Schizosaccharomyces pombe: one gene and its partner. The gene in region 2 interacts genetically with the main gene of each other region. Each region holds a gene or a part of one and is shown on either strand. Other genes may lie near its edges.

Evidence for each region.
Region 1: mutations in SPOM_SPCC306.07C (region 2) and mug51 together harm fitness more than expected from each alone (negative genetic interaction), as found in Schizosaccharomyces pombe (one large-scale study listed by BioGRID).

The regions. Positions count from the first base shown.
Region 1 is NC_003424.3:4,714,548-4,718,271, forward strand, and holds mug51 (variant protein kinase 19 family protein), read left to right. Parts: upstream 1-2,002; 5' UTR 2,003-2,022; coding exon 2,023-2,943; 3' UTR 2,944-3,166; downstream 3,167-3,724. Other genes in the region: phosphorelay sensor kinase Mak1, read left to right, coding at 1-442; SPOM_SPAC1834.10C (uncharacterized protein), read right to left, coding at 3,167-3,480, 3,542-3,724. UniProt on the Schizosaccharomyces pombe protein: Serine/threonine-protein kinase. Has a role in meiosis.
Region 2 is NC_003421.2:419,089-423,018, forward strand, and holds SPOM_SPCC306.07C (U3 snoRNP-associated Cic1/Utp30 family protein), read right to left. Parts: upstream 2,083-3,930; 5' UTR 2,048-2,082; coding exon 1,985-2,047; intron 1,925-1,984; coding exon 1,791-1,924; intron 1,612-1,790; exon of another isoform or gene 1,570-1,611; coding exon 912-1,569; 3' UTR 541-911; downstream 1-540. Other genes in the region: family protein BIG1, read right to left, coding at 1-231, 294-385; mdh1 (malate dehydrogenase), read right to left, coding at 2,615-3,640. UniProt on the Schizosaccharomyces pombe protein: Involved in rRNA-processing and ribosome biosynthesis.

The sequences.
Region 1 (3,724 bases), on a different chromosome or scaffold from region 2:
TGCTGAAACACTCCGATATAATCTGGCAAAGTCTGGCTTTAGCGTGTTGTTGGCGGAAGACAACATTATCAATATTAAGGTTATAAGCCGTTACCTTGAAAGAATTGGTGTCAAATTCAAGGTCACCATGGACGGTTTGCAATGTGTTGAAGAATGGAAACGTGAAAAGCCTAATTTTTACTCTCTTATTCTAATGGATTTACAAATGCCTGTTATGGATGGTTACCAGGCATGTAATGAAATTCGTAAATACGAATTGGAAAACGATTACCCTAAAGTTCCTATAGTTGCACTTAGTGCGAATGCTTTACCTCATGTTGTTTTAAGCTGCAAAGATAGTGGTTTTGATTCTTACCTTGCCAAACCTATTACTTTGCAACACTTGTCCTTAATCATATCTGGCATACTTAATTATACGAACCAATCAAAGTTACACAAATGATTTGATATTTAATCTTCACTCACTTTTGCTTGTATTTTTAGAAAGGATCTCACTGTTTTAATGCTTTTATTTTTACTTTATATTTTTTCTTTGTTTTGATCAAAAGCTTATTTAGTGCCTATATTTATTTAAATTGACAACTTCTTATTTTGAATATTTTCCAAAATAATAATTATCTAAGCATCTCATATTTTATTTTATTAACTTTTTAATGCATTTATATTTCCAGCGCCCAGAACCAGTATAATAATATTAAATATCACATATTCCCCTTGTTTAATGTAATGTGTATTTTATTGGCAAGTTAAAAAAAAAATTGTATTGTGTGCTAATCAATCAGTTTTGAAATACAAACCAAATTAAAGTATAGGAAGCAGTCAAATAATCAATTCGAGGATACATTCTCATTGTTAAATGCAAACTTTAGGTAATTCGTAATTAGCTCTTGTAGCTCAGTGGTAGAGCGCTTGCCTAGTAAGCAAGAGGCCCAGTGTTCAAGTCACTGCTGGAGCAAATTTTTTCCCTTACCATAAGCGTAAATTATGCTACACTTCACTATGCATCACTACATATATTTGTTCACTGTGTAGACAGGATTTTTATTCTAATTCCAAGGGGAATGCTATAAGCCAGTCCAGAAAGAAAAAACAAGTTCTTGGTTGGTATCAATACCTTTCGTCGTACAAAGTATATTTAGTTCAATTACTGGCTTTGCCTACAACCGATTAGATAATGCATCAATACTTATACTACGTTATATAGTATTACTATTTTACATGTCAGCAATACTACACTAGCTACATGTAAGCTACGCAGTTTGGTATCTGATTTAAGGATACGTAGAACTGCGGTGAGTTTTCCTTGTGGTCTATTATATTACAATACACAGGTTGTATAAGTAGCAACTGAGTATAGGTATTGTATTAACTGGGTTATAATGTTACCTATCACTAATATAGCTCATAACTGAACTGAGGAACGAGGTTCAGTTGTAACGCTATTTATAATATTTCTAAATAGTTGTTATCAACGGGTATCTATGTATATAGACGGATAGTTACCCGTGATTATCAATAAACGGATCTTAGCTAGTATTCCAACATATGACATATAGTGATACGCAACGTAATGTATCATAGCGTAGTGTAGTATTGCTGACACTACAGTTGTGCAACACTCACTGTATGCCATATGTTAGGATTTTAGTTCAATCCGTGTATTGATAATTGCCGATAACCACCCTTTTATTAATTTAAATAGACTCCCACTGTTATGAACCATTAAAAAGATTATAATGAAGCCACCACTAAACCTCGTTCCTTAGCCCAACTATAAACTATTTTACTAATAGGTTACATTGTAACCCCAAATTTAGAATATCTTTAACGAGTTGCTACTTATTTTCCTGTACTACTGTATAAGTCGCAAGGAAAACTCACTGCAGTTTTTCGTATCGTTAAAATAGTTATTAAACTGCGTAGCTGGCAATTAAAAAATCACTGCGTTAAATGTTGAAGGTGATGAAAACTCGACTAACGAAATTTCTGTAAAGTAAGTTACTTCCCTTACCTACCTTGGCAATGCCTGCTTTATTAAAAATAAATAAAAAGAAGAATGGACAGACTAAAATAGACAGACTGTTTAGCAAAAGGAGAAAGACTTCTTTAGCAATTGAAAAAAACCACTCTAAAGCATCTATGTGTACTGGTCAATCACCATTAAACATCATTTCGTACAATGTTCCTCCATTGATTGTATTAAGAAACAAAACGATACGAAACTCTATAGAAGTTTTAGTTGAGGAAATGTTTCGTGACATTCAAATGCGCCAGCAAACGAATGTTTTAGTTGCACAGTGTCCGCGAATGATTGTGGAAACACAGTTGATAGGCTTATTTCAATCAAACTATACCAGTGTTGCTGAAGAGTTAGAACAATCTATACGTACAGGAGACATCCGTCGTCTTTACCTAAATAGATCTGACAAGTTCTGTGGTGAGTCTTGCTTAATTTTGCGACCTGAGTTTGATAAATTATTTACATACTATTTGTGCAAGTTCAAAGATCAGGAACATATTTATACGCTAATCTTTAAGTTGCATAAACTATTGATTGAAAATCCACTACCTTCCTACACATCCGAGGAGTTGAAATTTAATTGGGAGGAACGACGACTGCTGATTAGTATGGGCTTTCTTATTCTTGCTGGCACTGACTCTTACGGAATCTCATTACCCAACCTTGGCATTTTTACTCATATTTTGCGTAACAGCAGAAACGACTTGTCAAATTATTTAAAAAAGAGGCCGTACCGCGAAGTAATTGAATCGTCACTATATAATCGCAATGTTTCGGTAGCTTGCAAAAAGAAGAACGAAGCATTTTTTGGTTGGAAGTTTCGACTTTGCGACGCCATAGGAGCCGGACTGGTTGATTCGTTTATGACTACTTGTGGAAGAGCATTCCGTTTAACTAAAAAAGGACTTGAAATGAAGTTTTAAAACACTGTCGTCAGATAATTCACACATATTCGAGAACAATCGGATACGGTACTATTTATTCATATCATACACTTTCATTAATCAATCTTTACCATTTTTTTCCTCCCTTTTTTATTCAAAAGATGAGCATTATTTTATTCGTTCTACATTTCAAACTCGATTAAGACCTAAATTACAATACATTGAATTTTATATTAAAAAACTTATATAGTTATTATGATATCTATTTCGAATCGTTTTTGTTTATTTGCTTAGGTTGCTGTGCCTGCCGTATAGCATTAAAAATTGGCGTAGCCAATTCTGGGTGCAAGTAAAAATATCGTTTGGGTACAGTAGTGCTTTCAAGGTTTGCGAATGGACGACTATTGTTGGTATCAGGGATTTTGAGCTTGTCTAAAGTATATTGGGATAAGCGCTTTTTTCCTAGAATATTAAATGTATTTAAAGATAGCACGTTTCCCTTTAACGTTGCCTCCGAAACATAAGATTTAGCAGCCCAGTGAATTATTGCAGTCGACAAACTAGTAGTAGTACATGCTAACATGTTAATAAATTTGCTTTGGAAATTTTGGTAATCCGATTTCTTGATGAAACATACCCAAGAAAACCATCGACATTCTCGTTCCCAAACTTAAACCTCCTGCATCAAGTAAAAGCATCACTGGAGAAATCATATAAGTTAAACCTAATGATCCAATCGAAAACTTTTTAATGTTTCCTATAGCTTTTTTAAGTGGAGCATCATATACAGCTGCTAGACTAAATGATGTTGAAGCAAACC
Region 2 (3,930 bases):
TGTGAGTCCAAAGACTCCTTGGAATAAGGAAGAAGTAAGCTATAGGGTGATTGCAAAGAAACACGCTTTAAATGTTTAAAAGCTCCCAACTGAAAATCATTAACCTCAAGGCCTGGTTGATGTATAATTAAGGTAGCTGTATTGCATGTCGAAAGTGCCTCAATTGCGGCGTCAAAAAACATCATAGGGCAAGTGGATATTGAAGAATCATCGGATGATTTGGGGAGTTTGCTGTTTTTAGTTAGATTAAATAATTTACACAGTATAATGCCATCGATGGATGCAGGACATACGAGTTCGTAGAAAATAAGAAAATCGGCGAAGTATCTTTAAATGCTGATACTAAAGAAAAGCAAACTATAAATAAAATACTCCAAGAAAACATTTTGACACTAAATTTTCTTTACTTTGGACAAGTTTGGATGTTGTCAATTGCTTGAGCGTTGGAGTGGTAGAGAATAGCTCTATATACTACTTTCAGTATCTAAAGGTACTAAAATCCTTCTGAATGAACAAGCTACATATAAGCAGATAGATTATGTAAATATAACATGTTATTTACGAGAAAAAAATAATACTACAAAACACAAGACGGTGTAGATTTTGTTCCAAAATCATGACAATAGTCCATGACACTTGTTATACACAAAAACCCTTATTTATTACTCAGTCCAAAATACCCGTTTATAAAAGACGTGCCCTTGTAAATCCCTTTTGCTTTCAGCCACTCAAAGCTTTTTCACATAACTAATTAACATCGAAGGAAAGAAATGTATCAGAAATTTGAAACAGGCAAAGTCAAATGGTGTTTATAAATACATTGTCAAAACTCTTTCTTCTAGCCTTAGTAGAAAAATGGTAATTATTTTAAAATACTTTTTTTTTTCAATTTAGGAAAGCGAAAGTCAGTTTCACTTATTCCCTTTGCCTTCTCCAGAAGAACCCCGTTTTTGAGCACGCAGTTCACTTTTCTTAAGAGGTCTTGCATCTTGAATGTGCACAATGTGTCTTTTATGAGCAGCAAGATTGGTGTCACTAGTCCAAATTGGCAGAGAGGCACTGTCAGCTGTTTTAATCGCAACATTATCAATTGCAGACCACCCTTTCGGAATGAAATTAGTTAGCAGACACTTCAATACAGTCGTAATATTCTCCAACAATTGTTCATTGGTTTGAGTGGCCAAACCACAGAGAATGGTATGACTAGTGCCGGCAGATAACTTAAGATAAGTAGAATGAAGACAACGAGCAACTTGATTACGCAAAGTCTCTTTCTTTTGTAAAACAGAAATAGGAAATGGCTTAATTTTTTTCTGTTCAAAAACTTTCCCCATCAATAGGGGGATGTATTTTAATACACGATCATCAACCAAAAAAAGGTTGTGAGAGTCTCGTAGCTCACATTTTTCTCGGATTGTTTTATACTTTAATTTCAATCTCGGGATGCTAAGTACTTTTGTAATGACTTCGTCAAGCCCTTGTTGCTCCACCAGATCTTGATATGTCTGCTGTGAATCTTTCACAATCAAACAAGCATCTGTTACATGCATTATCCTGTGCGGAAGGAATCTGTAAAATAGTTAGTACCTTATAATTTTAATGAAGAACACGCATCGATTCTATGAATGTTACAACAAGCTTGATTTATTAGCAAATCAACAAAACCGTAATACCTCTTTATTTCTGCACAAGCAGTAGAAGCTTAAGGTTTTAAGTAATTATAAGAACAAAAATTTTATTGTTGATCTTATTACTTCAGGAAACTTAATTCATCATTAATGCTCACTTACACTTTTGATGGTCTTCTAAGCGACTCTTTCTCAACGGGTTGGAATGTATTAACCTGAATATAAACCTTTTCTTTTTCAATAGGTTTATCAGAGGATCGAATGTGCTGCAGCAGGGCTCTAATTGTTTTCTCTAGCTATTGATTATTTGTAAGTAAATTGCACGATAATTTGAAATTAAAAAAAAAATTTCTTACTAATTTTATGTCAATTTTATCCAATGACTTTAAATTTTTCTTTTTTTCACTTGTAATCGCCATTTCTATTAAGATGTAAGTAATGGATGGCTTTTTGCAAGTTCAACTTGGGTTGGTCAGAGAAGTTAATATTACAATGCTATTGAAAGTTCTGTAGCATATCATTATCAAAGTTTAGTTTGTAAAGAATTAATCAAAGAACAATTGTTCTGTCTTATATGCCATGGCCTTATTAAATTGATGGCTTTGAAACGATACTAGATAAATAAGGCCAACAACTCAAGAACCGCAAATGTCGAATGAATGGAAAACTTATTATCTATTACTTGTTTAACAATTTTCTTTTAGTGGTTATTGTAAATTTGAATCATCGCTTTTCGCAAAACTCCGCATATTGAAAACCCTCATCTATTCGACTGTAAAAACGGAATTCAATAGATATGAAATTTCTATACAACCGCACATATAAAAGGAAACCTTGTAACATAATTTTTACATTCATACCTACACTATGAATGCAGTATACAGATTACTTTTTGACTAAAGTAAAAGAAATAACACACACGAAAGAAGCAAGAGAAAACAAACATTCATAAAGAATATCATATCATTTCTGTTATTCATAAAAGATTATGCTACAAATTGCTCACCCTTCGTAATGCTCTTTTTCAGCTCACCCAAAGCTACCTTAAGAAGGCTCTCCTCATAATCATTGATTTTACCAACAGGGTGAATGGTGTCAACCCCATCCTTACCCAAAGTTACACGAGAGGCAAAGAAATCAATTCCTTGATCCTTGTACAGAGGGGACTCCACAAAGGTGCATTCCTCAACGCCAGACTCACCAGCCAAAGCACGGAGTACGGAGGAGGCCATACGAGCACCGGCATAGGCCATAGACAAGGTCGCACTTCCAGCACCAGCCTTCGCCTTTACAACCTCATCACCACCAAATTGGATACGGTGAATAAGTGCGTCACGCTTTTCACCAGTCAATTCAACACCGCCTTGGGACAACAAAGGTACGATGGTCGCACCGGAATGACCGCCAACAACAGGAATATGAAGAAGTTCTGCCTTGCCATTAGTGACTTGAGAGGTGAAACGGCTGGCACGAACAGAGTCAAGTGTGGTGACACCAAACAAATGTTTGGGTTGATGAACGCCAACACGTTCTAAAGCCTTTTTAAAGATGGGCACAGTAGAGTTTACGGGGTTAGTGACAACGAGATATTTGGCTTCGGGACAAGTTTCACCTGCTGCAAAAGCAAGGTCCCGCACAATCGATGCGTTAGTAGCAAAGAGATCATCACGAGTCATTCCGGGCTTACGGGGAACACCAGCAGGAATAATGACCACATCAGCACCGTTCAAGGCTTTTTCAAGTCCCTTGTCATCAGGAGCATAGCCAACAACATTGGAAGTGGTATTGATATGTCCAATATCGGCAGCAACGCCAGGAGCTCCCCTAATATCGAACAAGGCCAATTCACTAACCTTATCGTTCAGTTTTAAAAGCATTGACAAAGGCTGGCCAATACCTCCTCCAGCACCCAAAACGGCTACTTTGAATGCGCGACTGGAGGTCGTAGAAAAAGAACGGGGAGCGATACTCTTAAGGGGAGTAAAGTTTTTGAAAGCTACTTTGGCAAACATCTTTGAAAGGTACAAATTCGCAAAGCAAAGTAGAGAACACGGGTATTTAAAAAAAATAGAGAGAGTGTGTGTGAGACAGAGAGGGGGGTAAAAGAAATTTCAATAGAAAATGTCCAGTTGAAAGGTTGATTCTTCTTTTCTTCAGAAGATACTAGACACTATATCAAAAGTTAGAAAAATTTGTTGAAAATAAAATATGTATATATATGCAAACATGAGTAGCCGCATCCTACACCATAACGTTTATACGGACTGACTAGCAAAGCAAAGCTACTCGACATCCTGGTTAC